4 linked regions of the Elephas maximus indicus genome follow. The protein of the gene in region 3 interacts with the protein of the main gene of each other region in a biochemical or structural test. Links are inferred from orthologs where the notes say so. Each region holds a gene or a part of one and is shown on either strand. Other genes may lie near its edges. The genes, in order: FYN, AKT1, MAPT and MARK1.

Region 1 (8,008 bases), on a different chromosome or scaffold from region 3:
CTGAACATGAGAAAGAATAAAAGTCTATTGCTTTTGAGCCATTATATTAGGGGGGGCAGTGGGTTTTGGGTTACTTGCTAAATGGAATCCCTGGGTAATGAAAATGGTTAATGTGCTTGACTGCTAATGAAAGGTTGAAGGTTTGATTCCACCCAGAAGTGCCTTGGAAGAAAGGCCTGGTGATCTACTTCTGAAAAACCAGCCATTGAAAATGCTATGGAGCACAGTTCAGCTCTGACACACATGGGGTCACCATGAGTTGGAGTCGACTCAGCGACAACTAGTGGTAGTGATCTGTCAAACCTACTAACATGAGCCTAATTAATATGCAGTGCCTACTTTTTTTTTTTTTTTAACACATACCAAAGACTAATTCACACTAGAAACTACTGAGGTACCACTTGATAAGAGACAAGATAAATAAGGCCAGGTTCCTTTTCACGATGTGCTGACCAAGCAATGGTGGAAACACACACACCAAACATAATGTCTGCTATTGAAGCTTGAAAATAAAATAGTTCGGGGTGGACGGATACAGAGGAGGCACGATAACTTGTTTGGATGATATAAAATACGGAAGGCTTCACAGAAGAGATGACATTTAAGCTGGGCCCTGAAAGTTAAATAGGACTTTGCTAAGCAAGTCAGATGGGGTTGGGGATTTCAGACCCAGGAGAAAGCATGGAGCAAAAACACAGAAAGCAGAGTGTGGTTTTGTTCACACTCAGCCTTATGCAAGAAGTCTCTTTAACTTGGTCAAAAGAGTGTGAGTTTATTGTGCACTGACTCTCCTTCCTGGGTCTGGAATCAAACAAACAACCCTTTGTCTTTATAATACACTCATTAACCCATTGCTTTTTCTAATGTAAAAGTTCCACGATGAATGTCCTTAGAAAATGCAGAAGTAAACGTTTAATGAACCGTAACAGCTCCTTCCTAGTAAAAGTCTTTAAGAATAAACTTGTTCCATTACTTATAACAGTCAAGGAGCCATGTTCCTAGGAGTCAACACGTTCAACCTCAGCTTTGACACTATCCACTAAGCATGAAATAATCACTGGCTTACAAAATGGAACATAAGCCCCCAGATTTATATTACCATTTCCTCTTTAAGAGGAACGTCAAGCAGATGGTTTAGAGTTCAGTCAAAAGATTCTCTATATCCCTGTTCATATCTCACTGTCCCCAAAGCCTTAGATAGTTAACAAACCACTTCCTCTGAAAGTCCGTGGGTCTCTTCATCAGAAATCACAGTACCCATGGGGCAGGGACTGGGTAGAAAGAGAGCACAAAGGGTGGAAAGTATTGCAGTTGCTTGGGGGTGTGAGGAAGGATGTGGGCGTCTGAAGGCTACCCTGAAGCAGGGAAGAGACAGTCTCCAGCAGTCTTCCAAATGCCAATTCAATGCTGTTTTATTAATGTCCCTAGGTACTTATTTAAACCTAATGGTAAACCAGCATCACTGGGCAGACAAGATTCCTTTTCAAAAGACTTCAGCGCAGTGGCCTTAGACTTGGGAGAAGCAGCAAGTCAGGCTGCATCGCTCTTATCAAACACCAATTTAATTTTCTGACTTAGAAACAAAATTCTTCTGCTCCCACGCCAACTTATCGAACCCCAACTCATGGTACCCAATTTCAAAAAAAGAAGGTGGAGCTACCTAGAACACTAAAGCAACTCTTAAAAGACTGCTGTAATCATTTTCTCCTTGAATCTAGGAAACGCTGCAGCTGCCAGTCAACACTGCCGGTCCGTGAACACAGTAAAATGCCCCATGAACACAGCAAAATGCCGGCACCTGCCACCCTGCATCTGGGGCCTTTTATTTTTTGGTAAATGTGGCAGGAAAGACTCTCACAAAGAAGATCAACTGCTTCATCTGAGCGAAAGCGAAGCCCTAGGGAAGAGAAACAAGAAGCATCGGGCCCATCCTTGGGTACTTTGTGTGTCTCTTCTCTGTGCACTGAAAGAGCCCTTTGTGTCACACATACACACACACACCCGGGGAGCCTGTGTGATTTACTGGGGGAGGAGGGACAAGAAGGGTGATTTTATTATCCCTCTTCTCAACGAGTCTTAGCAATTCTCCTCCCTGGACCCAAGCTCGGTGGCCTCTTTCTGGTCCAGTCATCTCCGCCTGTGGCCGCAGAGATAAGAGAAGGGAGGCGACCAAACAAAAAAAACAGCCATCGATCCAGGGAAGCGGAGAGGAAATACAGCGATCGGCGAAGGGAGAAAGAAGCTTGAGGGAACAGCAGGAGTAGGGGGCAGAGAAAGAGGAGGGAAGGCTCCAGCACAGGGGAAGAGGAAGGGTGGGTGGGTGGGTGGGTGGTGGCACAGGAAGAGTGAAGGGGAGGATGGGGGAAGTACAAGGGAGGTGCCAGAAATAGGCAGAAGGATGCGAAGGGGAAGGAGACGGCCGCAGAGGGAGGAGGAGGCCGAGAGGTGGAGTGGGGCAGGGGTGGGGTGGGGTGGGGTGGGGTGGGGAGGGAAGCAGCACGGGGCATCAATTATTAAGTGATTACATCATCGCTGACATTAAAACAACACACACAGCCCTGGTTCCCGCGAGGGGCCCTGAAAGGAGGGCGGGGGCGGAGCCCGAGTCCCGGCCAGCCTCGCCCCCAAGCCAATTCCTATTCTCACTCGGCGCCGGCTCGCGGGCTGGGAAATGGGCCCCCATCCCTGCGCTGCCCCGCGGCGCCCTCCGCAGAGGTGTCCTCCCGCTTGGCCGCGGGAAGTCCCCGAGCACGGCCAGCTCCCCGGCAGCCCGCGGAGAGGCCGGGAGGCGGCGGCGGCCGAGGGACTGCAGCGCGGGGCCCCGCGGCGGGGGGGCGCGGAACCGGGGCGCCGAAGGCCGGGCGGCCCCGCAGCATCCCCACTGCTTCCCGCGCGCATCCTCGGCCGCTTACCTGCGCGGCGCTCAGGCTCCGGAGCCCATTCACATGGTCCTCTCCCCGCCCTCCTCCGGCGCGGCCAAGGCGGCTCCGGCGGCTACTCGGCTGGTCCCGGAGCCGGGGCGCCTTCCGAGAGAGCAGAGGGGCGGCGCCGGGGTTCCCCGGCCCGGCCGCCGGGTCCCTCTGTGGCGCGGGCGGCGGCTTTGTGTGAGCCCGGGAGCCCTCGGTGCGCGGGGAGAAGCGCCGCGCGCCCGGACGGCGGAGGACGCGCGGCTCGGAGAGCAGCCTGGCCTCTGCTCCGAGGCCGGCGGGCGGGCGGGCGGGTCTCGGAGGCCCTCGGCTCGCGGCGACCCCTCCTCCTCTCCCACGGCAGCCCCCTCCCCGCCGGCTCCGCTCCTGACAGATGGCGCAACTGCAAAGACGCACCGCCTGCTCGCAGCTACTCCCGCTGATGCTCGCGCCCCTCCAGCCCGGGAGGGAGGCGAGGAGGGGGCGGGACGCGCCGTGAGAGTGGCAGCCCCCGCTCCCCAATCAAAGGGCCCCTTGAGAGCTGCGGGCGGCGACCATTGGTTCCTGGGGCGGGGGCGGGACCGCAGTGGGTGGGGCGGCCGAGTGGGTACAGCGTTACTGTGGCAGCCGGCATCCTGGCGTGCGTGCCGTTGTGGGGTGTGCGACGGGATGAGAGGTTGGAGGAGTTTTTTGTTTTTAAAGGATTGTGGAGTTGTGAGGTGGTGGGTTAGGGCGGGGAAAGGAGAGGAGGTGTGAGCTGCGGTTTCTGCTTTATGGAAGGTTGCTGATGCCACTGCAGATTAGCATCTTCCATTCCCCCAAACATAGGAACCTGCCTCGAAAATGGGGTGCCATGCCTTTCTGGTGTCTTTTTGTTTAAGGGTCGGAGGATAAAATGCGAAAATGTTAGAGTAGGAAAGCGTTTCTTCTGGTCAAACTGAAAAGAGTACGGAGCAAGGTAGAATTCTACCACAGAAACTGGAAAAGCTGGGAGAACCCTGGAAACGCACACAGCAAATAATAACAACAGTAATAATAAAAACTAAAAAAAAAAAGTTAGGAATTAATATATTTGTCTTCCATTTTCATAGATATACTTACATATTTCTATTTTCAAACAAAAATCTCGAGGAAGTGTTACTGAAACGGGGAGAGAGGGAGGCTGTGACAAAGGAACCCACGATCACAGAGTAGAGATTTGTTTGTACATTTCTTCCCAAAATCATGTTTAATTGTAGCCAGTGGTTGTCTTTGATTTTCCATGGCTTTTTCCCTACACTGAATCTGAGCCTTTGCTCAGGTTTCCCTTGATGAAATAATAGCCGGTGTATAGTATACAGTGGTGGAGTGCATCAGTCTTTATTTCCTATCCAGCTTTTCTATGGCAGGATGTAACTTCATGAAAAGAAACACGTTGGCTTCCTGATTTTCTTCATAGGTAATTCCTGTTTACAGAAAGCTCTGCTTCAAGGCATGCCCAGAATCATTCTCCTTAACGATGTTGGCAAAAACTCTCCCTCCTCTCTCAGCAAAACTAATGCTCTAAGAAATATAAGTGAATCAACTTCTGCTTCTATGCTCAAAATCTATAATATTACCTTTCTTGCCCACTAATTAAAAAAAAAAATCAGTTGTGCTGACTCTTTTCTTTTTTGTACTCAGTAATTTTTTTTTTTTTTTTAAAGTTGCTAACACTTATCGAAGGATCCCCATTGTATGGATGAGGAAACTGAAGAAAAGAGAAGAAACTCAAGGGGATAGATGATACAGAGTGGTTACTACTTTTTGTTTTTGCTTTTTTCTTCTTAAACAAGCAAAAAATAAAACCATGTTTAAATTGTATGCCTGGTAATTCATTCCATACTTCCAAGAAATGGAACCACAGCTAGGTCTAGAAGATTTCCATACAAGAGAATGCCAACCTCATCTAGCCAAGAATTGCGTATCTCAAGAGAAGGGGCTCTTCTTCCTTAGTTCTTAGACTTCCATGACTGTCCTGGATTTATTTAGCCTGGGATTGGAGAGGCAGTTGTCTAGATCAATGTTTCTCAAACTTGAGGGTGCATCAAAATTATCTCAATGGGCTTGTTAAAACACAGATTTCTGGGCTCTATCCACAGAGGGTCTGATAATGTGTGTTTGGAATGGGGCCCAAAAATTTGCACTTCTAACAAGTTCCTGGATGCTGATGCTACTGGTCTGGAGACCACATCTTGAGAACCACCGCCACAGTGGTGTTCTGTCCAGTGAAGTAGCCATATATGTATGGTTAATGAGTACTTGAAATGTACTTGAGTACTTAAAATTTGACTAGTGGAAATTGAGATGTGCTGTAAAAAACACGCTTGACTTCTAACATTTAGCATGAAAAATAAGAATGTAAAATATCTAATAATTTTTATATTGGTTACATGTTAAGATGATGGTAATCTGTTTATACTGTTCTAAAGAAATATATCATTAAAGTTAATTTCACCTGTTTCTTTTATGTTTTTAATATTGCTGCTAGAGAATTTAAAATAACAGATGTAGGTTGCATTCTGTTTCTGTTGGACTGCACTGGTCTAGAGGAATGGAGTTGTTTCTGATTCCAGCTCTATAGTGCTCTGGTGGGAGCACCTTGATAAGCCAAGACACTTAACCCTTCTGAATCTTAGTGTCCTCATACATAAAATCGGTGAAATAGTAATCCTAATCTCACACTAGCCTCATCTATTACAAGAATAATCATTGTTAGGATGTAGTCCTCCTTGGAATTCCACATTAGACTCAATCTATTTTATATGAAATCTGGAGCAGGTGGGGTGTCATGGGTTGAACTGTGTCCCCCCCAAAATATCTGTCAACTTGGCTAAGTCATGATTCCCAGTATTGTATGATTGTCTACCATTTTGTCATCTGATGTGATGTGTTGTAAATCCTATGGCTATGATGTTATGAGATGGATTAGTTGCAGTTATATTGATAAAATCTATAAGATTAGGTAGTATTTTAAGCCAATCTCTTTTGAGATGTAAAAGAAAGAAGCGAGTAGAGAGATATGAGGACCTCATACCATCAAGAAAGCAGCACCTGGAGCACAGCGTGTCCTTTGGACCTGAGGTTCCTGCAGAGAGATGTTCCCAGACCAAAGGAAGACTGATGCATCACAAAGACCTTCCTCCAGAGCCCACAGAGAGAGAAAGCTTTCCCCTGGAGCTGGTGCCCTGAACTCAGACTTCTAGCCTACTGGACTGTGAGAGTATAAACTTTTCTTTGCTAAAGCCATTCGCTTCTGTTTTTTCTGTTATAGCAGCATTAGATGACTAAGACATGGGGCAAGGCAGCTCGTTGTTTATGACTTCTTCAAAAGGACTCAGTCACTTTTTAGCCTCTGCAACTCTAGCAGCTTCTTGATCTAATTAGTGGACGAAAAGAAGAGACAATGAAATTAAAATGATAGATTAACTTGCTCCCATCGAGACTTCATCCTGTTTTTGCAATTCTTTTCTTGCCTATCATTTTATCTGCTGGTCTTCTTAAATGTAGCTTTAAATGGATTTGGCCTCCTCGAGAGAATTTGCTAATGGTCTGAACAAGTGTATCCAAAACCAAACCCTTTGCAGTGGAGTGGATTCCAATCTGTAGTGACCCTATAGGTCAGAGTAGAACTGCCCCATAGGTTCCAAAGGCTGTAATCTTTTCGGAAGCAGACAGCCTCATCTTTCTCCTGTGGAGAGGCTGGTGGGTTCCAGCTACTGACCTTTGCAGTAAACGCTTAACCTATTGCACCACCAGGGCTCTTTGAACAAGTGTATAAACCAAAACCCAAACCCAAGTCCTTTCTGACTCAGCAACCCTATAGGACAGAATAGCAACCCTATAGGACAGAGTAGAATTGCCCCATAGGGTTTCCAAAGAGCAGCTGGTAAATTTGAACTTCTGGCATTTTGGCTAGCAGCAGAGCTCTTGCAACTATATGTTGTTGTTGTTGTTAGGTACCGTGGAGTCAGTTCTGACTTACAGTGACCCTATGTACAACAGAAGGAAACACAACCTGGTCCTGTGCTACCTTCATAATCATTATGCTTGAGCCCATTGTTGCAGCCACTGTGTCAATCCATCTCCTTGAGGGTTTCCTGTTTTTCATTGACCCTCTGCTTTACCAAACTTGATGTCCTTCTCCGGGGACTAGTCCCTCCTGATAACATGTCCAAAGTATATGAGACAAAGTCTTGCCTCCTTGCTTCTAATGAGCATTCTGGCTGTACTTCTTTCAAGACAGATTTGTTCATTCTTCTGGCAGTCCATACCCACCCAACCCAGTGCCATCAGTCCAGGTCCATGGTATATTCAATATTCTTCCCCAACACCATCATTCAAAGGGGTCAGTTCTTCAGTCTGCCTTATTCATTGTCCAGCTTTCACATGCATATGAGGCGATTGAAAACACTAGGTGCTTGGGTCTGGGGCAGCTTAGTTCTTAAAGTGACATCTTTGCTTTTTAACACTTTAAAAGAGGCCTTCTGCAGCAGATTTGCCCAATGCAACGCGTCTTTTGATTTCTTGGCTGCTACTTCCATGGATGTTGATTGTGGATACAAGTAATATGAAATCCTTGGCAACTTCAATTTTTTCTCCATTAATCATGATGTTGCTTATTGGTCCAGTTGTAAGGATTTTTGTTTTCTTTATGTTGAGGTGTAATCCATATTGAAGGGTGTGGTCTTTCATCTTCATCAGTAAGTGCTTCAAATCCTTTTCACTTTCAGCAAACAAGTTTGTGTCATCTGCATATCTCAGGTTATTAAGGAGTCTTCCTCCAGTCCTGATGCCATGTTCTTCTTCATATAGTCCAGCTTCTAGGATTATTTGCTAAGCATACAGATTGAAAAAGTACAATGAAAGGATACAACTTTGATGTACAACTTTCTTGACTTTAAGTCACACAGTATCCCCTTGTTCTGTTCCAATGACTGCCTCTTTGTATAAGCGCAGGTTGCTCATGAGCACACTTAAGTGTTCTGGAATTCCCATTCTCAATGTTATCTATAATTTGCTATGATCCACACAGTTGAATGCCTTTGCACAGTCAATAAAACACAGGTAAACAACTTTCTGGC
Region 2 (7,850 bases), on a different chromosome or scaffold from region 3:
AGGCAAGCTGGCAGCAGCTCTCCCACCCCATGCCCCAGCCAGGACGCCACTCAGAGGCCGCCCTCTCCGGCTACACGCTAAGTGGGGCCTCACTGCCCCTCATCTCCGGCTGGGCCCTCCATGCCGACACGCTAAGCTGGGCCCAGGACAATCCCTGGGGAGGAGCCCCTCAATCCCCAGGCATCACGTGCCACCCATGGTGCCTTCCAACCCCAGCCCCCAGGGCACGCATAGCCCCCAGCCCCACAGGGGGTGTACTGACCTCTCTTGTGCAGCCACCCCTCCTTCACAATGGCCACGTCGTTCATGGTGCTGGGCTCCGGTGGGGACCCCACGACACTCAGCTGCTCCTCCTAGGCAGGTCTCCAAGCCCTGGCGGTGCCCACAGCCACTGCAAGACAAGGGACCTGCGTGAGGCCGGCTCCTCTGTCCCCGTGATCTCAGCAGCTGGCTCATCTCTTGCCCGCCAGCCTGACCCACCCTTCTTGAAGATCAGACCCCACTGCCATCCCCCCACCACCGTCCCCTCTGTTGCCCCCACCTCCCCTGGCCCTTGTACAAATCACTCCCATCTCCCAAAGGCCCTCTGGCTTATCCAGCTTCCCTAACCTGCCAACCCAGCTGAGAGGTCGCCTCCTCCAGGCAGCCCTTCGGACTGCTTCAGCCCATGCCTCCCCAAGCCCCTGATCACGGGTACCCTGTCTGTTCTCCTGGCCCATGGGGTTTCTGCCCACAGGCTGGGGTCCCTGGGGCAGGGCACAGGGCCCCTCCTCCCTGTCCCTGAGACCTGGAAAGGAGAAAAGGTCAAACGTAACAAAGGCAGGGCCAGGAGTGCAGGCAACTTGTGAAAATGAGAGCCCAGAGCTGCCCCAGGAGACATGGAAAACCTCCCCTGAAAACCCCCAGGCCCCTCCTAAACCACAACGCTCCTGTCCGTCTGAATCTGGCTCATTCATCCTGTCGCCAGGTACCAGGCATCTCTGGTTTTGCCAGGCCCAGTGCTGGGGCTTGGGACAAAGAGAGGTTCAGACAGACCCTGTCGGCAAGGAGCACCCAGTCCAGGGTGGTTACAGACCCATAATTATAGCATTCAGGAGGCAACAAATAGGGGGGTGGGGGGACTGCACAAACAGCAGTGGCACTGGCGCCCATCCACAGCAGCCCACCAGCCAGACCTCACTGGAGTAGACACTTCAGCCATTGATCCTGCATGCTCTCCCCCCTCCCCCCTCACCCCTGTTGGACGAACTCCTAGGCATCCCTCAAAACCCAGCTCCCACGTCACCCACTCTGGGCATCCCAGGAAAGGGCACTTGACACGATCGTCCTGTGAGCAGTCCTCTGCTACCCTTCCAGATGGGCACTCCCAAAGTGGGCCTGGGAGACTCCTCAGGGACCACCAGGCTGGGCAGAGGACCTCTATGGAACTGATCCCCACTTGGGCACCAGCTCACCCCACGGCAGGGCCTGGTAGCTTTGCACTGATTGTCTTAAGCTAAATTGAAAACAGCAAAAAAAAACCTCATGCCATGTGATATCAGGGCAGAGAAGCCACCCCCACCCCCACCCCCACCCCCCCGCCCTCCATCCATCTGAGCAGTAGCTGCTGGGACTCAGCAGGTCCACCTGCGGTGCTCAGAAGAGAGGCTGATAAAGATATGACCAGGAAAGAGGAGGGGCACAAACGGCTCTATGAAACCCACGGCTAGGGATCTCGGACCGGAGGGGGCATGGCCTGGAGGCAGGGGCTGGACTCAAAGACCTCTCCGTGCCCGCCTTGCGCCTGAGCCCCGAAGGGAGCCGGCCCCAGGGCCTGTGCTGACAAAGTCAGACAGCTGCTGAGAGCTCGGGGCTCCAGTGTGTAAAAATACATCTGTGCACTCACAGGGTGGTGTGTCGACACTGAGAATGTGCGCCCCAAACCAGCCACCGGACAGCTCTGAGCCAGGCCAGCGGGCGGAGGGATCCACCATACATGTGCTGCCGCGACTGTCTCAGGGAAGCCGTGTTATTGCTACTGCTGTTGTTATTGTTTAAGTCACACTTTAAAAAAAAAACAACCTGGGCTAGGAAGAGGCTCCCCCTGCCCCGCCAGAGAATGCTAGGTTTTGAACTGTGTGTTCAGCTGGGGGGCGGGGAACCAAGCCCCCACTGCAGCACCCGCCCTACACGTGGACCAGGGGCTCAGATCAGTCAACAGCGGCCACTTGGAGCAAGGCTGGGGCCCCCCGCGCGGAGTAAATGTGGGGGCCCTGAGGCCACGGAGCACAGCCCCCGCCCTGCCCAGGAGGGCAGCACTCAGAGCCAGGAGGAAGATGCCCAGCTCCCTCAGGGAGCCCCAATGTGAGGCGACAAGCCCCAGTTGCCCTCCAGGCCCGGCCCTGGGATGGGTGGGCAGTGCCCCCGCACCCACTCGGGACAGGAAGCCGGTCCGGGGCCTGGAGGGAAGGTCGGGCCCGGGAGAGGTTAGGAGCCTTTGTGGGCTGGCCTGGGCACCCGGCCACCACGGGCAACTTTGTCTCTGGGAAAACGAGCCCTTCTTCCCGCGGCCCACCCACAGACGCGGACGCGGCGGCGGGCCGAACCTTCCCCCAGGCCGCCTGCGCCCCCGCTGCGCGTCGCGCCTGCTGGCCGCGCGCCCAGAGCCCCGCGCCCCGACCCCCGGCCGCGCAGGCGGGCCCCCTCTCCCGGCCCGGCCCGGCCCCAAGGTCATGCGGGGACCCGGCCCGCGCCCCGGGCCGGCGTGGGCGCCTCCCTCCCGGCCGCCCCGCGCCCTCCGCGCCAGGCCGCGCGCTCCCGGCCACTTCCTGCTCCGCGCCGTTCCGGCCCGCCCGCCCGCCCGCCGGCGCGAACAAAGCCCCGCGCGGGGCGCATCCGGGCCGCGGCGGGACTCACCGGGCCGCGCGTCGGGCGCCAGCGAGCGGGGCCTAGCCGGGCCGCGGCCTCCGGCGCCCGCCGCTCCGCATCCCCGCCCGCCGCGGCCCGGCGCGGGGCAGGTCCGGGCTGGGGCCGCGGCCGCGGGCGGGCGGCGCTGTGCTGGCGGCCTCGCGGAGCCGCCGCGGGCTCGGTGCTCCGGCCGCTCGGTGCTCCGGGCTGTGCGCTGGGCCGGGCCGCCCGCCGCGCTCGGTCCTACCGCCGCCCGCGCCGCGACCCGCCCTCTCCCCGCCCCGCGCCTCCCGGAGCCGCCCGCCCACATCCGCCTCCGCCGCCCCCGCCGGCCGCCCCAGCGCGCCCGGCCGAGGAAGCAGCCCTCCGGCGCCCGCTGCGGGGCCAGCCTCTCCGGCACCGTCCTTCCGACCTCAGTTTCCCTGTTTGCAAAGTGCGCCCGCACTTCCCGGCCCGGAACTGCCATGACCCTGTTAGGACGGGCGGGGGAGGAAGGTCAGGGACGAATCCTGGGGATCTGCCTCCGTGGGGGGCGTCGGTTTGACTGTCAGCGGTGCCCTCGGGCCCAGCCCCACCCTGAAGGGGGGACAAGAATGTCCAGAGAGGCCCCGTTCCAGCAGCCCTGTCCAGCGGGATGGGGGCCCCAGGAAGTCCTGTTTGAGGCGGGCCTTGAATGCGGGCTGGAGTTTGGACAGGCTTTGGGGGGAGGCTGACATTCCTGTGTGTTGAAGGCCCACCGTGCCCCTGGCCATGATCTGGGCCTCCATTAACCGGAGCCAGGCCCTCAGTGCCTACAAGGGGCTTCCAGCAGCCCCCCTAGGAGGAAGAGACTGAAGCGGGTAGTTCCAAAAGGGAATGAAGGAGGGGGTTCTGCGTGGTGACAGGGGAGAAAAGGGGTCTCAGGGCCCAGATAGAGGACATCCAACCAGCACCTCCCAGCTCATGGGCTTCATTCCTCATACCTGTCTGGCCACCCGGTCCTGAGCTGGAGGCAGACACCCAGAGGAACTGGGGCTCTTGTGGTGAAGGGGGTACAGACTCAAGAGAAGGGCTGTGATGGTTGGGATGGCTCACAGCCCAGAGGGGGGCCCCGTGTAGTGTCCTATGCCTTGGGGCCCAAGCCCCCTCCCCGCAGACTGGGAACACCTGGATGACTCACCTGCAGACACTTGTTCTCTGGGCCAGTTTCTCCAACTGACTCCCCACCCCGAGGCCTCCAGTCGATAACAACCCTTTTGTGAAAGGAAGACTCTTAGGAGCCACCATCAGGGGTGGTAAGTATTTGGGTGGGGGGGGGTCATTTTTGTTTTTCATCCAGGGTCAGAGTTCAGCCCGGGCTGGAGGGAGGTGTGGACACTCACTCTGGCCAGAGGCTCACCTGCAGCCAGGTGTAGCCAGCCGTGTGCCCGGGACGAGGCTCTGTCCACAGCAGAGATATGGATCCACCCCTGCCCCTCGGGGCTGGACAAGGGTAGGACGCCCCTCAGAGAAGGGCAGGGGGCTCCCAGCTCCCAGCCTCTCCCCTTAGCACCTCCGACCCTCCCTCTTCCCCCTTCCCCCCAGTACAGCTGTCCCAGCTCAGACCATGTAGACTCCGGGCAGGGCCCTGCATCCAGGGGCCCAAGTCATAGGTCTCTGTTGCCTGGGCTGGATGCTGACCAAGGATCCCCCAGAGCCGGCGGGTCCCACGTCTGTCCATCACTCACCATTCACCCAACAAACACTCATGTGGTCCCCTAGGTTCCTCTGTCCCACCTGGACACTGCTCCCCATCTCAGGAGGAACGTCCTACCTGTCCCCTCACCCCCTCGGGGCTCAGCAGAGGTGGAGGAGGGGAACCCGCTGAGCCTGGGCAGGCCAGGTAAGCACTGCCAGGGCAGGAGGGTGCCCTGTCGCGGAAGAGGTGTGATTCCTCAGGCCACTCATCCACTGGCCATTTGGGAAATGGCTTCATCACAGGGATCCACAATATCCCAGCGGCTGGTGGGGCCCCAAGAGGCCTCCCGCCTGTTCCAGCCCTGAGCACTGCCCCAGCTCATGTGCACCTCTGCCTGGGCCTGTCTCCCCCATGACTTGGCACTCCAGCAGGCAGGCCAGTCCCACCTCCTCTGGCCTCCTCGAGGGAAGGACGGCCCCCTCCCCAATTACAACAAGAGAGCAAAGCTCCGTCTAACTCCACTGGCCACTGCCAGGCCACCTAGGGCTCCTTGGCCAGATGTTTCCATCAAGAACTGCCTCACACCCTCCCCTCTGGAGGACACTCCACCTGCCCCTCCCAGAGCAGGCCTCCTGCCCTGTCACCCCTGCAGCTGCTGGCCGTCAGGGGGCACCTCGCGGGGCAGGCAGCCAGGCTGCTGCTAGTCTTGGTGGCAGCTGCAGGGCGGGGCCTCTGGGCAGTCCCCAGGCCAGATGGTGGCCCAGCCTGCGCGTTGCGTCTCAGGAGGCTCTGCCTGGGCCGCCCACTGACCACTGACTGGGGTTCTCGGCCTCCTGTCATGCCCGGACCTCACCCACCTGGGAAAGGATCCGAGGTCCAAGGCCAGCGGGTACCTGATGCCCATGGGGCACATGGTGGTAGCCTTGACACCTGGACTTCTTGGACAGTCCCTCCCCCACTACGGGGGCTTTGAACTCAGACTTTCAGCATGCCGGGCTTCTCTCCCACTCTCCCCTAATCAGTAAAGTCCTTGCCTCCTCCAACCCAGCCCAGGGTTCCTGCAGGCAGGTCCCCACCTGCCTTGACCTCCCCGCCCCGCACCCCACAACCCGTCAGGTCCCAAAGGAGCTCCTTGTCCTGCTCAGCTCGCCCCCACCCCACCCCAGGGCCTCACTCCCAGGCCTGAAGAGGGGCTGTCAGAGCCCCGTAGAGGGGCCTCCCTCCTCCCCCTTGGGCACAGGGGCGAGGGCCAAAGGAAGCAGCACAGGCAAGGTGGCCAGGAGCCACAATCTCCACACCAGGGAGAGATTTGACAGTGAACAAAATGGTACCTTTCAGCGGGCAGGGGAACAGGAGACCACAGATGTACAGATCCATGACATGAAGTCCCCAAAGAAGACCAAGGCAGAGGGATGGGCAGTGCAGACCGGCGCTGGGGAGGTTGATCTCAACCAGCAGGAGATGACATGGGAATACAGACCACTGAAGAGCCAGGAAGGACTAACTGGGGAACAACCTTCTGGAAGAGCCTGCTACCTGCCTCGCAAGGCATTTAATCTGCACAAAGACCCCCTGAGGGGCACTCATTCCCATTTGGCAGATTCAAAGAGCTTCCAAGGGTCTTATCCCAGGCCCGGTGGCGCAGAGGTAGGCTTGTCCCACTCTGAACTTGACTTTGAATTCAGCTCTTCCTGCTGAAGGCTGAGGCAGGGGGCAGGGCTATTTCAACGGACTGAGGGAGGTGTCCCCAGACTGGAGGGCGATGGGGCCAGGGCACTGCTGCCCCTCTGCTCTTTCGGGCAAGTGACTCCAGGGTTGGAAGCTACAGCTGCCAGATTTAGCACATAAAAACACAGGCCACTGGGACGGATTTTAAGTTCAGAGTTTTAGTACAAGTTTGTGCTTTCTTTCCACACACAGGAGATAAAAACCGCACTCAGGTCTATCACATTGCTGAGTCCCAGAGCCCCTCAGGCCCCCAAACCACTGGCTTCCAACCAGACCCCTCCCCTTGCTCTGGTCCCTCCTGGCGGGTCCACAAATCACAGCTGTTCACCTCATCCCCCCAGGCTCCTGACTTCTCCCACTACTTCCTCTCCCCAGATCCACTGGGCGGGGGTCCATCCTTCTAACCTGGTCCCTCCTCCAGCGCAGCCCCTACCCGGGTCTGGATAACCACACCACCCTCTTCACCTCCTGGGCTCCATGAAGTGCAGAGTGGGACTCAGAACCAGGCTGCCCAGATTAGAACCATGGTTTGGGGCTTCCCCTCCACTGTGTGGCCCTGGGCCCCTCACCTAACCTCCCACCAAAACCGGAGTTGGACGAGCACAGGATTGAGTGATCTCGAGAATGACATGAGTGGTGGGGACAGACAGCTTAGCCGGTGCCTCCAAATGGGTCCGGTCGAGGGCACTCCTGGTCAGGTCCTTGACCAGCAGCACCTCCCAGTGGGACCCCAACCTCTTCAACCCCCACCCTTTTCTGTGGGGGTTTCCATCTCCCACAGACCCGGGTGTCTCTCACACCTTCACGCCGGCTCCTCCCACCTGGAACGCCCAGCCCCCTGGGTGCCGACTCCCTCCCGCGGCTGCCACTCCCCACCCCCCAGACTTTCCTGCCTGCCCTGGGCTTCCAAGGCGCTAGGGCCTCCCTCCGATTCCACCCCACCCCGTTTTGCTGGGACGTGTCCTGTACCCCATGCCGCCTTGGCAGCAGTAGAGGCTCGCTAGGACCTGCTGCGGGGTGGGTGTCCATGCTCTGGGCCGCCAAGGTCGAGATCCCACGTGAGTGTGCGGACGAGTGTCCCACCTGAGATGACATAAATTCACAAGAAGACTTCCCACGAAGGGATGAAGTCGTTTCAGTTTACAGCCCTGCCCCCCACGCGCCCCCTCCCCGATCCCAGCCCTGGCTCCCCGCGTGCTGCCAGGAGGCTGCGGTCCGGGCTGCGCCCTCGGGTGACTGTCCCAGAGCGGACTGGGGGAGGGGATGGCCCTCGGAGGGGGACCCTTTGCGGCCGGGCGCGGCCAGGACCTCAGGGCGACACGAGGCCGAGGCGGCAAGTATCGCGAGAGGGTCCCCTCCCCGCCGCGCCCCGCCCCCGCCCCGCGGGCCCCATCCGGGCGGGGCGGCAGGGGGGCGGGCAGGGAAGGGGCGGCGAGGTGACCTCAGCGGTTCCGCCGCTCCGGGAAGTCGCCTGGGTCCGCCCCCTCTAGCCCCGGCCTCGAGTCCTCTCCCTCCGGGGCGGGGCGAGCGGCTGGGGGGACGCGCCCTGCACCCCGGGCCCCGCGACCCCCGCCCCGCC
Region 3 (7,033 bases):
ACAAGAGAGAAGCCCCGCCTACTAGGGGTCGGGGGCGGGGAGGTGGTGGCCCTTGTATCCGTGCCCGGACGTTTCCGGAGGCGCAGCAACCGGCCCAGCGTTTCAGCGTCCGTTTAAACGCTGCATCCCTCGAGATGCCCCGGTGAGGCCGTTCGTTAACGCGCTACAAATCGCCGGCCGAAGGACCACACTCTGGCCCCTAAGATTCCTCCATGAGCAGCCCCCGGGCCTTGCCGGCTGGAGTGCTTCATCAAACCAACACATTTCATAATGGAGCGAAATCTCAGACGCGTGGACCGCGCTTTGTTCCCGGCATTGGGCTAAGTGCGCTACTCCCCGCCAGTTCCTTTTCCCCCAACAGGCAGGAGGTGGCATCTCTCTGTCTGCGAGTCGCCACGGGGAGCCGTGGCCGCGGATCCCCTTTCCCAGGGCCGCGGCAGGACCCTTGCTCTGTCTGCACGAGAATTCCGCCCCCAGAGCTGCCTAGCCGGGGTCCTGGAGCCGCTCTTCGATCAGCCCGCCGAGGGCCCAGCTCTGCGGGGAGGCCTCGCAGCAGAGGGGCGGTCTGACCCCAGTGGGCTCTGGACTCCGATCCAAGCCATTCCCCGGGAATTCAGGTCAATCTGGGCGGCCACAGCGGACGATTCGGCCATCTACTTCGATCTGTGCCCCAGGCCAGTTTGCAGAGACAGAACCAACCAGAAACCGGGCAGGCCCGCCTCATCGCACGTGTAATCACTACGAGGGCGAGGCTGGGACTTGCTCGCAAGGGGTCCCCCGTCCCTGGTTTCAAGGGCACCAGTGAACCAGGGCTTTTATGCGAAAATCCCGCACGTTTCTAAAACGATAGTCACCAGAACGGCCATAATAATAATAAAAAGACTACAGGGACGCCTCTCTGGGTGGCTGAGGCCGCCAGTGGCCAATAAGGAAGAGCCGTGGACCCCACCGCGCCATCAAAGGGATGGGGGGCGTGGCCCCGGCCTCCCCAGATCCTCAATCTTCGCGGGTAAGGGGCGGAGAACGCCCCATGGCCCCTTCCCGGGTCGCGTGTGGTTTCCATGGCAACCCCCACGTAGCTCCCCACAGTCCACTCGGAAAAGATGGATGTGGCCGCAGCACCCCAGAGAACCTCAAGCTCCCCCCCCCACACACATCTGCTCCGGGAGAAGCAACAGGGAGTAGAGTGGAGACAGCCCCTGCCTGCGAGCCCCTGCATCCCGGGGGATGGGGTCGCCCGCACCTCTCACTGTGCAGCCTTTTGGGGAGCGAGCCCCGGGACGCTCCGGGTCTGGGGAGCGTGGTCCCCCTGTGGCCACTGGCGGGGTGCGCCAACACCTCGAATTCCACCTCCTCAGCTCAGCGGATGCCTCTGGGGCTTGGCTGGGCTCCGGGAGGGGGCCGCGCGAGGACATGCCCGTTTCATGCGTGCCCCTGAGGCTGTGACTCGGGTTCACCGATCCCGGCAGACACCGAGATTCAACAAATGGCTCTGAAATGCAGGGGCGAAAAAAAAAGAGGCAGGGAGGCCAGGGGACTTGGCGAAACACCCCCCATAAACTAAAAGTCTAAAATCCAGGGCTGGGAGCGCAGATCACGTAATCCCTCCAAACAAAGCAGCGAGACCCCGAGAAAGGTCCTGGGTGATCGCCCCCAGTGCTCACGCCCGCAGCGGATAAATGCCAAAATGTCAGCGCCGACTGCCTGCCCCCCCTTTAAATAGCAGTCTCCGCCCTGCTCCTCCGAGGCCCAGCCACCCAGCCTGGCTTGGTACCGTACGTGGTACGCCGCAAAAAGATGGCACCTCGCGTTCTGAGGGGAAAAAAGCGGGGGGTGGGTAGGAGGAGGCACAACCCACCCTCCTCCTCCTCTCCCACCCGGATCCACACCCTCTGCCGCAGTGAGGGGCGAACCCTGCGCGCCAGCCCAGCGCCTCCGGCAGGGAGCGCACACGCCAGCCGCCCCGCGCAGAGCGCAGAGAAAGGGGCCCGCCCCGAAATGCACCTGCAGCCCCCGCGCCCGGCTGCGCGCGGCTGCGGCTGTGCGCGCCCGCGGCTGCGCGCGCCCAGGAGCAGGGACCCGAGGCCGCCGAGTTTGTCCAATCGCAAAGCCGGGTGACCCCTGCCTTTCCGAGCCTCCACACTGAGATCCGCGAAGCTGCTCTTGTGTCGGTGCCAGGAGTGCACAGGGGGAAGGGCAGCTAAAGTGACAGCTCCTGGACCCCTCCCCATCTCTCCGATTCCACTCCCAGCCCCCAAATGTCCCCTGCGGTTTCTGAAGGAAGAAAAGGGGGAGGGGGCGGGCCTCCGCCTTAAATCAGGGGCAGAGAAACCCCATTGGAATCGCTTCTGGGGAGACGCAGGGAGGGGTAGTCAGGGAGTCATCTTTTCTAGAACCAGACCTGTACCTTCCTTAGGGCTGCTGGCAAACGGGAGCAGAGAAATCAGATTACAGGTTCGGTTTCGGGGGTCGTCATTGGATCCCCACCTCCACATACACAGACATACGCCCATTGCGGCAAAAGGTGGCGTTCAAGAGTGTAGAGCAGCCCCCTCCCCAGGCCACCGCCATCCGCGCCCCACCCTGCGGGCACAGCCTCGGCCCCCGCCCGCGTGAAGCCGGACGTGCGGACCCCTCCCTCCTCAGCGCACACACACACACACACACGCAGTCACACGCGCGCGTGCATCCTTTGCACGAGTTCCTTTCCAAGCCGCCCTAGCCCCAGCTCCAGAGCGCAGAGGGCTCAGGGAGGGGCCCCACCTCTGTCAACCACTGGTGCCCAGTGCACGAAGCCCATCTCTGCAGCGGAGGGCGAGGGGCGGCCGCGGGGGGATGCTGCGGGGCCGAGGGGTAGGCAGATTTCGGAGCCTCGGCGCTTACCTGCTGGTCGACAGAGGTCGAGGACCGGAGAGAAGGAGAAGGTGGCTGTGGTGGTGCTGCTGGTGCGGGAGTCAGTGGGTGGCGGTGACTGCGAGTGCGCGCGCGCGCCGGCGAGAGGGCGCGCTCCCGAGGCCGGCGGGCAGCGCAGGCGCGAGCAGCGGGAACGCGAGCTTCCCCAGGGGAGGGGCGGGCAGCTAGGCCTCTGCCGGCGTCTTTTCCTCCGGCCACTAGCGGGCGCGCGCCAGCGCCCCACCGCTCGGTCTTTCCCGGCCTCCTTGCTCAATCCTTAGGCGGCTTCCTTCCCCGGTCCTCGCCGTCGGCATGCCTAGGGCCGCGGCACTGACAGCCACGCGCACGCGCGCTCGGTGGCGCACGCGCACTCCCGGCCTCCCGCCGCTGGAGCCTTTGTCTTTTCTGACGGGTCTCGTCCCTCGGGCAGGAGGCTCGGCGACCCTTTTCGGTCGCTGCAAGGCGGGCTGCTGCGGGCCCAGACCTACTGCCGCCTTTCTTCCCGTCATCCCGGGGCGGTGTCCCATCTCAGTGGATGTCCCCATGGCTGGCTCCCCATTGAGTCCACTCCGGACCCCTCTCCAAGGCTTCCTCCAGGCTCGCCCTACTTGTCCCTGACCTGGTGATCCCGACCCTTCTTCCCGGGGTCTCCCGAAATGATCCCCTTGTCGGAGCTCAGTTTCCCTGGGCCCGTTTCCTCTCTGCTTGCTTTCCACCTTTTTTCTTATTGACCAAGTGAATATTTTCCCTTAACAAATCTTACTGGCTAATTCAGCATTACAGTTTTTTTTTTTTTAAATAATGAATTTATTGTGTATAAATTGACCCTAGAAAAAAATCTTAATTTAGACGACATTCGAATGGTGCTTATAACATTGCAGAGCCTTTTTTTATTTGTTGAAACACCCGTGTACTGTAAGTAGAGTTGAGATCTGAATTTCTAAGTACCTGTTGGAGATTCTCACCTGGATACACACATTCTCCCGGTAACCCAGGCCCCAGGCCCTAGCCTCTGACCTTACTTGGATTCCTTATCCCCTAAAATGTAATTAAGCCCTGGCAGTGAGAGACTTTCTATGTAGGGGGTCAGGGACAGCCATCTCCTCCTAGGGGGGTGGGAACTTATCTTGAAACTTTATTTGCATAGCTTACATTCTTTAAAAAAAAAAAAAATGTGTATCATAGATTAATATAAAAAGCAAGTCACTGAAAATGCTTTATTAACTCGGATTTAATTTTTCCAGTTGCTGTCGAGTCGATTCTTACTCATGGCAACTCCGTGTTTGTTAGAATAGAACTGTGGTCCTCAGGGTTTTCAATAGCTTATTTTTCAGAAGTAAATCACCAGGCCTTTCTTCCGTGGACTCTAACCTCCAACATTCAGTTAGCAGCTGAGCAGTAACCTTTGGCAGCACCCAGGGGCTCCATAGGTTTGATTAACATATTATTGGCAGCAATGGGGGATGATGATAGGTACAAGAGGCTAATTCCATAAGTCTTTGTAAGTGACGTTATTGCTGTTCTCCCACCATCCGAGCTGTTCTGGACATACAATTTGTTGTTGTTGTTAGGTGCCATTGAGTCAGTTCCAACTCACAGGAACCCTATGTACAACAGGACGAAACTGCCTGACCCTGCGCCATCTTCGCAATCCTTGCTATTTTTGAGCCCATTGTTGCAACCACTGTGTCAATCCATCTCTTTGAGGGTCTGCCTCTTTTTTGCTGACCCTCTACCAAGCATGATGTCCTTCTCCAGGGACTGGTCCCTCCTCATAACATGTCCTTCAAACCCTAGCTCATAGTTTACTAAATCCATCCCTAATGACCCCAACTGGAGGGGATAGTTCCAGCTTCTGGAAGGAGTTTATCAGAGTTACTCATCTCTCTGGAAGTGTCAGGAGGGGTAAAGGGGGGTGACTAATATCTATCAGATTAAGATTTTATTATTGTCCCCAATTGTTTCTTCTTTTGTAGGGGTTATACATCCCCAGCCATGACTGCATGATCTGCCTTGCCCCAGCTCTCAGCTCCTCTGTTGATACTTGGCTTGGCCCCGAGGTGGTCTTCGGCAACTACAACTAGTAGATGTGAGATACACATGATATATACTTATCCCCTCCGTCACTACAGTGGCATGAACCCTTAGGATTACTTCTTCAGCCTAGGTTCCAGAATGAAAACACGCCAGAAAGCGCGTATTACATGAACAAGAAATAAACATTTGTTGTGTAAGCTGCTGAGATTTTAGGCAGGTCTTCAAACCAGTTTGTTCCAGTTCAAACCCCTGCTGAGAATTTACATTTCCACCCCAGATATACTGAATCAGAATCTGCATTTAACAAGATCCCTGGGTGATTCTTACGTATAATAAATTTTGAGAACCACTGCTCTACTAGTGGTTCTCAGAATCAGTCCCTAACCAGCAACATTAGCATTGCCTGGGAACTTGTTAGAAATGCAAATTTTCAGCAGGGGTTCAAACTGGAATGAACCAGTTTGAAGCTTGATTTTTAGGTTTGTTTATTACACCAGCAAAGCTGACCAACTCAGGGATTAAATGAGATAATTATAGATATCTTGTTTCTTGTGGGCTTTCATTAAATGATAAATAGTAGTTATTATTTCATCATCATTATCAATGCTTTTGCTACACATTACTTCATTTCTTTACGTAAAATAAATGGTAGCAGCCAAATATTCCTCCCCATTCAAATTTCTCATTTTCTTTCCTCTAAAATTTAGTATAATTGAAAACTGACAGAGACCTGTGACATTGTGGTCCCCTGATACTGAATGATCACATTTGCCTAATACTAAATTGAGATAATGGATGCTAGAAACAATCTTAAGCAGATCTGTCATCTGTTTGTAATGTGGAGTTGAGTGTTGCTTGCAGATAATTTAATCACTGTTGGTAGCTAATGCTTCACTAATTCAGGCCAAGAAAACGCATCCATACTCTCAACCCTCTCCCTTGCTGAAATAGAAATCTCCTGGCCACATGGAGCACACCCTGCCCGCATATAGAGAGCCATGGAAGGCAGAATGGCGTAGAGGAAAGAGAACTGGATTAGGTCTCAGGAGAGTTGGATCCTAATCTTAGCCATTTTGTCTGACCTTCGACAAATTCATTAACTTTTCTGGGCTTCAGTGTTTTATGTAATGGTGTCCTAGGTGGGGTTAGATCTGAGATACAGATACCTGTAGAATTAGGAAACTCTGCCATCAGATCTAATCGCATACTACATTAGTCACAGTAAACTAAGCTATTGTAACAAATAGACTCCAGAATGTAATGGCTCACTCAGGTAACAGATATCACTGGGCTAAAATCAACTGGGATTGTTAAGGGACAGGTACGTCAATCCTAGCCTGAGAATGTATATTAGTTTTATCACTGATATGAAAAATTACCACAAACTTTATGGCTTAAAACAATGCAAATGTACAGTTCTGGAGACCAGAGGTCCAAAATGAGTCTTATGGGACTAAAACATGGCATGTTGACAGAACTTTATTCTTTCTAGAGGCTCCAGGGGAGAATCCATGTCCTTGCCTTTTCCAGCCTCTAGGGGCTACCTGTATTCCTTGGTGTGCGGCTTCCAGCCAGCAATCGAATTATTCAGACCTCAGCTTCTGTCCTCAAATCTCTTTCTTGGACTCTCTTCTCTCCTTTCACCCATAGGGACTCTCGTGATTACATTGGACCCACCTGGATAATCCAGGGTAATCACTCCATCTCAAGATCCTGAATTTAATCACTTTGGCAAAGTCCGTTTGCCATGTAAAATAGCATATGCATAGGTTCCACGGATTGGGATGTGTGGACATCTTGGTGGGGAGGGCATTATTCTGCCTACCACAGAAGGACATGGTGATCATAACCAGAACTGAGATCCCCCAGAGAAGATGGCCTGGGTCATGCTGTCAGGTAAGCCCTTAGACCAGTAGAGGTGAAAGCTGAGGGTGAGAAGAACCTGGAATGGATAATAGGGGAGAGAGATGATGAGTATCAGTGATGGTCCCAAGACCTGTTACAGCTGTGGGGGTCAAAGGTTAATAAGGAGAACAAATTGTCCTCTTCTAAGGTTCCCCCAAGAAGAGAGGCCCACTGAAATCCTGAAAAATCTGATTCCTGA
Region 4 (7,730 bases), on a different chromosome or scaffold from region 3:
ATAGGGTTTCCAAGGAGTGCCTGATTGATTCGAACTGCTGACCTTTTGGTTAGCAACCACAGCACTTAACCACTACACCACCAGGGTTTCCCCATAAAGATTACAGCCTAGAAAATCCTATGGAGCAGTTCTACTTATGGGGTTGCTATGAGTCCACATCAACTCAATGGGCACCTGACAACAACAACAACAACAATAATAATAAAGGCCCTTGATTCTTCAGTAGCTAAAGCCATCTATAGATTCCGACTCATAGCAACCCTGTGGGACAGAGTAGAACTGCCCCACAGAATTTCCAAGGAGCACCTGGTGGATTTGAACTGCCGACCTTTTGGTTAGCAGCTGTAGCCCTTAACCACTAGGCTACCAGGGTTTCCTTCAGTAGTTAAACCTCTTCATTATAAATGTTGACCTTATAAAGAAATGCTGTCCAACAAAGATATAATATAAGCCACATACATAATTTTATGTTTTTCAGTAGCAACATTTGAAAAAGTAAGAATAGTTGAAATTAATTTTAATATTTTATTTAACCAAATATATCCAAAAATATTAGCATTTCAACATGTAATCTGGTGTGTATTTCATACTTGTAGCACATCGCAACTCAGATGCTAAATTTTCATCGGAAATACTCGATATCGTAGCCCTGGTGGCATAGCAGTTAAGAGCTGCGGCTGCTAACCAAAAGGTCAGCAGTTTGAATCCACCGCCACTTCTTGGAAACCCTATGGGGCAGTTATACTCTGTCTTATAGGGTCGCTATGAGTCAGAATTGACTCAATGGCAGCAGGTTTTTTTTGGTTTTATTAAGATTTTAGAAAATTTAGATTGAAAAGCTTTTTCAAATATACTTAAAATTTTTCCAATAACTGAATCAAATGTCAGTTTTAAAATTTGAATTTTTAAAAAAATAAAATGAAAACTTCAGCCCCTTGGTTAGCTCCACGTCAAGTGCTCACTAGCCATGTACGGCTAGTGCCTACTGCGTTGGCTCGTGCAGGTCTGGAGGGCTGACGGGAGCAAAGCTCTTTTAGCACGTTTCAGTGTGTATGTTTAGCACCTTGTAGTCTTGATTTCTCTTTTATTGTCTCAGTACTTCGATTTTCTTCCGAAACTTTTATTACCCTAACACCTTAAATTAAAACAAACAAAAACCAAACCAGTTGTCCAGTTGACTCCAACTCATGGCGGCCCCATGCGTGTCAGAGCAGAACTGTGCTCCATGAGGTTGCAGTGACTGATTTTTCACAAGCAGATTACCAGGCCTTTCTTCCGACGTGCCTCTGGGTGGACTGGAACCTCTAACCCTTCAGTTAGCAGCCCACGGCATTAACCTTTTGCACCACCCAGTTAACCAAACCAAACTGAAACTATTGCCACTGAGTGGGTTCCGACTCATGTCTAGCCCACATGTTTCAGAGTAGGACTGTGCTCCATAGGGTTTTCGGTGGCTGCAATCTTTACAGAAGTAGATCACCCGGCCTTTCTTCTGCAGTGCCACTGGGTGAGTTTGTACCACCAACCTTTTGGTTAGTAGCCCAGCACAAACTATTAGCAACACCCAGTTAGAAGCCTCTGAGTTGAATATGCCACATTAGTTAACAATACTGAGGAAAATAATTCAGAATATTTCTTTTGCCATTTCTTCACAGTCACAGACACACGGAGCATTATACAGTAACAAGGCAATTTTGCTCGTGAGCGTTCATATCACTAAGGTCTGTGGCTAAGCAGTTTTAATGCGACCATAGTACTGCTTCATGTCGATTTGAGCGGAAGGGAGCTCACACATGGGGAAGCATTCAATAACTCCTCAAAAAACCCCAACGGCTTTTTTTTTTTTAACCTATACAAAGCGCATTTTCATTTTGTTTCATTATACACCGAGCCTAAAGCTATGGGTATGAAAAGGGATTATTTGAACACCATTTTTGGACAGATGGAGTTGTTTCTAGTATACTTTGCTAGCTAGAATTACGGATTTGAGTTTCCCAGTAACGACTATCTTTGAATGCAATTCCATTATTATAGAATTTTCCTTATTCCAAATTGCTTTTTTCCCAAGTGTGTTGATTTTTTAAAATAAGTATCCCTCATTGTTTATTACCTAATATTCCATAAGTTTCAATATGCGAAGGCCCGGTGTGGCCAATATAGCTAAGAGATTTGCCCAGGATTTCTCATGTACACTTGACAGTCTGCAGAAGCCACTGGGCTAGAATCCCGGTCTCTCCTTCAAGCTCTGTCTCTAATTGGCCATTGTACCTTACAGGGGTGAACCTTTGGGTCTTGTGCCTGGTGCACGATTGAACAGTGCCACATATTCCTGCTCTCTTCTTCAGTAACCTGATGCATTTGTGATCTTGAGTGAGTCAGTTGAGTGGGATTTTGTACAGTGGAAATAAATATGCCTGTGAGGGTCACCGTAAGGGTAACATTATAATAGGTGAGCGTGCTTTGAAAGGCAAAGTTCAAGTGAGCAGTTAAGGAATGATTTATATGCCAATGGGGCCGAGCCTCCTTTTACAGGTACTTGTCTATTCCCAGGTCAACACAGGTACTGTTGTAACACAAGGTACTCTTGCGTGGCTGCAGCAGTGAGTGGTGGGGCTGACACTGCGCCAGTAGCCCCTATGGGCAGCCGTGGCTCTAGTTGATCAGGGCCGTTAAAGCGCAGCCTCTGCCCTGGCAGCTTCCGTACATCTTGTTGAATCAGGACCTCCACAGAGGGAGTGTAAAAGCTTGGTATTCCCAGTTGCACACCGTAACTCAGGATGCAGCCTTACTCTTCCAAAGCCTGAATTCTGTTTGAGGAGTGGTGATGAACACCCAAAGGGTCTTGTGATTTTTATTTGCTTTGTGAAGCTGAGAAATGTTTACGAGATAAAATGCTAAATAAGTAAATACATAGACGGTGTTCTAAAAAAACAAAAAACCCAAACCCACTGCCCTGGAGTAGATGCAATCCCGACTCATAAGGACCCTGTAGGACAGGGTAGAACTGCCGCATAGGATCTACAAGGCTGTAAATCCTTCCAGAAGCTAACTGCCACATCTTTCTGCTGGGGAGCGGCTAGGGGGTTCGAACTGCCAACCTTGCCATTAGCAGCCCAGCGCTTTAACTATTGTGCTACTTCTAGAAAGGAATATATGCTGAGTGAGTTTTTTTTCCCGTCAGAGGATATTTGTATTTGCTTTTTTTAGGTCTTTTGGGACATGTTTTAAGGGTCAAGTGTTAACTTTTCAGAAACAACGTTTAATGATTCAGAATAAAAACCATCTGGTACAGAGATTCCTCCCTGACATGGAGGAACTTCAGGGGAGAGGAGGAATTTCCCATCGTCTTAAGGTTCCCATCGGAGGCTTACGGAAGTAGCTCCAAAATTGGATCTACATCCTTCTATCTATTGTTCCTTTCATCTTCCTGCCTACCCATGAAAGGAAGCGAAAAAGAAATACTGGACTAGTGAGATGGGAAGGTTTTTGTCCTGGAGGGTAAGAGCGTGCAAAATCTAAGCTCTCAAGTAAGACAGAAAGGAACACCATAGCCCTAAGGAGCTAATGGACCGTAGACCGTGCACTACAATGAGCTGCAGGAAAGGCGAGCAAGGCACCTGGAGGAGGTAGCACAGGGCCCAAATCAGGGACAGCTCTCCTCCCTCCCTACACAAGCTCGCCTCAGTGACACTTCCTTGTGTCCCAGGAAGTGACGACCAGCCAATGTAGCCTTTGTGACTCCCGGGTCTCACCCTCTCTGGGGGTGCTGTAGGGCCAGCCGTGCGACCTCTTCCGCTGGCCACCTTCCCAAGGAGGCTATGCCGTCCGGGGCGCCTCGGCGAGCTGCCTGGGCTGAGCACCCCTCCGTGGCTGCTGGCAGCACCCTTTGCCCAGCTGTTAGTGTGACCCTGAACCCCACGGCTCCCTGGAGAAGGGGACGGAGAAAGGGCGTAGACAGGACAGGGACTGAGACAGCGTGCGAACCCGGATGGAGGAGAATTTCAGAATGGGCAAAGTCCCGAGGTAGGATATAGGAGGTGTAGGATCCAGTAGGATTATACCCAGTTCTTCCCCGGTGGAACCGACAAAAAGCCGCTTCTCTGCATCAGCTCCCTCTCACCCAAACCCCGCAAAAACCAAACACGTTTAAAAATAAAATCACCAGAGGCTGAGGCGCCCGTAAACCCCGCGGGTGGGGCGAGAAGCAAAAATAAACACTGGGACTCGCGGGCCGCAGACGCGGGCGGAGGAGGGAGGCGGCCCCGCATCCCTAATGAGGGAATGAATGGAGAGGCCCCCTCGGCTGGCGCCCGCCCACCCGGCGGCGGCCGCCAAGTGCCTCTGGGCGCTGCGTGCCGCGCCCGCCGCTCCGCGCGCAGCCGGCTCGGCCGCTCCTCCCGGCAGAGGCGCGGCGGCGGGGAGCGCGGAGCGCGGCGGGACGGGCGGCCGGGACGCGGGCTCCGGGAGCGGGGGCGCCGCCGCCGTGGGCCCCGCGCGCGTGGCTGCGGCTCGGCCGGCGGCGCTGCACACCTGAGCGGGCGCGGAGCAGGGAGCGCGGCGCGGGCGGCGCTGTCAGGGCCGCGGCTCCGGGACGAGCCCGGCAGTGATTGGAGGCGCCGGCTCCCCCTCGGCCATGGCCCGGGGAGCCTAGCGGGGCCCGGACACCGCCCCCCGGCTCCGCTGCCCGCCCCCGGCCTCGGCGCCGCATCCCGCCGGCCCGCGCCGGCGCCCGCCCTCGTCCGGAGCCCGCCCTCGCTCCGGCCCGCGTCCCCCGGCGCCGCCGCCGCGGGAAGCGGCTCCCCTCCTCTCCCTCCGCGTCCTCTCTCCGCTCTCCGCCGCCGGGGCCGCTGGTTGCAGCGCCCGCGGCCTGCGGGAGCCGCTCGCCCGGCCCGGCGCCGGCCTCGAGCTCGCGTCTGCACCCCTTCCCCTCGTCCCCGGGCCCCGCACCCAGCCTGCCGGCGAGACCCCGGCCCGACCCGCCGCCCGCACAAGATGTCGGCCCGGACGCCATTGCCAACGGTGAACGAGCGGGACACGGAGAATGTGAGTAACCGGAGCCTCCCGGGAGCGGCCGGCCGAAGCCCTCCGCCGACCCCCGCTTCGCCCTCGGCCCGGCCGCTCCCCGCCCCCAGCGCGGCCACCGAGGCAGGGTCTCCACCTGAGCCCGGCGCAGCCCTCGCCCCCTGCGCAGCCCCCGCTCCTCGTCCCAGCCCCGTTTGGCTGCTTTCCCCTGAAGGGGGAGGGCGGGGGCACTGTAAGTGGCGCCCTCCCCCTCGGAGTGGTCCTCCGGCCGAGGATGGGGTGATGAGGCGGCGAGGCAGAGGAGATGGCAGAGTGGGCAGTCGGACTGCTCTCCTTCTACCCCCGCATTCTGTGTCCCCACCCGAGTAATTGTTGTACCCGAACGGACGAGCCAGCCCCCTACCTCTTCCCGGCCTTGCTTTTCTGGATCTTTCAGTTCTGGGCACCCCCACCCCCCGCATTGCCCCGTGACTTTGCTGTTTGTAACGTTGTGCCCACATGTTGGGTCGTGGGCACCCGAGAGGGAAGGTGGGGAATGGAAGGGACGGGAGTGCCAGAAGAATACGTGTGTGTTTGTGTGTGTGAGTTTATGCTGCTCTGATACTCCAGGGGGTACGAGCAGGAGAATTTCAAAGAACACCTTCTGTGGCCTTGAGGTTCCAGCAAAATGTTTAAAAGCCCTATGAAGCCAACGGCTTTTTCTCCTCACCCTCAAGTCAGTGGTGATCATTCAGGGCAGGTTTTACTTTAAATATCTCTCCTCCTTCTTGGAGTGTCTGTCACAAGGTACATTTCTTTGAAGGAAGGATTTTCTGTGTCTTTGATCACAAAGCCCTCAGGACTTTTTAATCAAGATGCAGATGTCCCCGGTGTTTAAACACTTGAAAACCCAGAGAAGGAGGTCAGGTGTATTTCCACCTTTTGAAAAGTATGATTGTATGTGTGTGTGAGTTCCTTTGGGGGAAAGATTTTTTTTTTTCTCTCATTCTTCTAAACGAAACAAAACAAACAAAACAAAGTCCTCATGACGTGTAAATAGGGCCTTTGCTGATTTTCTGACTGGCTTTAAGGAGCTAGATGGGTACTAAGTTTTGTTCGGCTCTTCAGAGCTCTCAGGTTGTCTGGTTAACTCATCAGCCCTTCAGCACTTGATGTACCAATATGGTTAGTAAAATAGAATAATGAGTGGCTTGGCATTCTTAGACAAAAGGTGTGAGAGAGAAGAGACACAAGCTCACTTTGGAAGTAGAGGGGGTATAAACAAATATTTAATCTTGGGGAGTAGGGGCGAACAGAAACGTTAGTATAATTGTAGGAAGGGAGAATTAATTTCAGCATGAGATCGTTGTAGGAATACTTCATAAGATGTTTCACAGAATGATTTTGTCATCTCTAGTGTCAGGCATTTAAAATGGTAAAAGATAGTGTAAGGCTGCCCTCAAATTATGATTTAATTTGCCTCATGACTGTTGTTTTTTAAAATATAATCGATAATTTCAATTGAGAGATTGAAGAAGGTGAGGGAAAAGATGAAAAATTTGGTTGAAGTTGATTGTAAAGCCAAGTTGGTTCAGAATTTTTCTAACAGGAGCTCTCAAAAAATTCATTTCTGTCATTTAGGAGTGTGGATGAAAAGTAAGATGATGACCTTTGTGTTTATTAGCAAATTACTGTGTGTCAGCCTAGGAGGGGTGGGAAAATGCATGGTTTTTGTGTTTTCTTTTCTTTTGGATCTTGAATAACATAGCTCTTTTTGTGTGAATAAGGGACATTATGCTGACATGAGATAGCAATATAGGAATATGCATCAAATAATCATACAAAATGAAGCATTGAATGTAAGACCAGAAAATGGGGTTTTGATCTAAGCAGTAATAGTGGGATAATTTTTTTGTGTGAGTGCCTCCTGAAAATGGTTATGTTGTATAAACTCATTTGCTCTGTTCCTGAACATGTTATTTCCAAGTCGCTATTATGGTCTCTTCTCTAGTTGTCATTGCGTTGTAGGGCAGTCCCAGGGTTACCAACATCGGATTTAGACTCACGACCCATAGTTACAAACCAGCCCCCATAAAGCCTAGTATATTAAAAATTGGAGGTACATGCAGTGATTCGTAATAACAAAAATGTGCTACTTGATCAAAACACTATAATTATTACTAGTGTATTATTATGTCAAAGGTATTTTAGTATATCCGAAAGTTTTTTTTAACATTTTTTATGCATAGAAAGGCACATTATATACTAAGACAAACAATTTGTCTAACTCAGATACGAACTGTACCTAACTGTTCCAGTTTACATTCAAATCCGACTTAAAGACAGATTTAGGAATGGAACTCGTTCATAATCTGAGGACTACCTATACTTAAATACACCTCCATGTAACTTACTTTACCCACATCATCATTTTCTCTTCTTCGCCGTGGCAAATATCTATTATACTATGAAGAAAAAAAACTATAGCTGTTAATTAATCAATAGGTATGCAGTCAGCTCTGCACTTCAGCTGGAAGGGATACAGAAGAAGTATTTAAAACAAGGCCTGTGCCTTCCAGGAGAGTACAGGAGAGAGAAATGTAATCCCAAATATAGCATACAGTAGAAGACACTCTGTACTAGGGCTAACTTGGTTTATAAGTTGTAGGTGTTTATTGAAGGGACCACGAGTGATGGCTGTTGAATCACTCTTCGTGCCTCTTTCTTCC

The links.
Region 1: of the proteins of MAPT (region 3) and FYN, one has a biochemical effect on the other in vitro, tested with the Homo sapiens proteins (10 studies listed by BioGRID and IntAct, with this or other methods). The link is inferred for Elephas maximus indicus from reciprocal best matches to the Homo sapiens genes MAPT and FYN.
Region 2: of the proteins of MAPT (region 3) and AKT1, one has a biochemical effect on the other in vitro, tested with the Homo sapiens proteins (3 studies listed by BioGRID and IntAct). The link is inferred for Elephas maximus indicus from reciprocal best matches to the Homo sapiens genes MAPT and AKT1.
Region 4: of the proteins of MAPT (region 3) and MARK1, one has a biochemical effect on the other in vitro, tested with the Homo sapiens proteins (4 studies listed by BioGRID). The link is inferred for Elephas maximus indicus from reciprocal best matches to the Homo sapiens genes MAPT and MARK1.

Annotation. Positions count from the first base shown.
Region 1 is NC_064819.1:177,871,786-177,879,793, forward strand, and holds the start of FYN (tyrosine-protein kinase Fyn), read right to left. Parts: upstream 3,004-8,008; 5' UTR 2,913-3,003; intron 1-2,912. UniProt on the Homo sapiens protein: Non-receptor tyrosine-protein kinase that plays a role in many biological processes including regulation of cell growth and survival, cell adhesion, integrin-mediated signaling, cytoskeletal remodeling, cell motility, immune response and axon guidance.
Region 2 is NC_064828.1:119,089,316-119,097,165, forward strand, and holds the start of AKT1 (RAC-alpha serine/threonine-protein kinase), read right to left. Parts: upstream 3,001-7,850; 5' UTR 2,896-3,000; intron 1,514-2,895; exon of another isoform or gene 610-1,513; intron 392-609; 5' UTR 309-391; coding exon 263-308; intron 1-262. UniProt on the Homo sapiens protein: AKT1 is one of 3 closely related serine/threonine-protein kinases (AKT1, AKT2 and AKT3) called the AKT kinase, and which regulate many processes including metabolism, proliferation, cell survival, growth and angiogenesis.
Region 3 is NC_064837.1:52,646,413-52,653,445, reverse strand, and holds the start of MAPT (microtubule-associated protein tau), read right to left. Parts: upstream 3,007-7,033; 5' UTR 2,884-3,006; intron 1-2,883. UniProt on the Homo sapiens protein: Promotes microtubule assembly and stability, and might be involved in the establishment and maintenance of neuronal polarity.
Region 4 is NC_064842.1:10,067,634-10,075,363, forward strand, and holds the start of MARK1 (serine/threonine-protein kinase MARK1), read left to right. Parts: upstream 1-4,726; 5' UTR 4,727-4,992; coding exon 4,993-5,043; intron 5,044-7,730. UniProt on the Homo sapiens protein: Serine/threonine-protein kinase. Involved in cell polarity and microtubule dynamics regulation. Phosphorylates DCX, MAP2 and MAP4. Phosphorylates the microtubule-associated protein MAPT/TAU.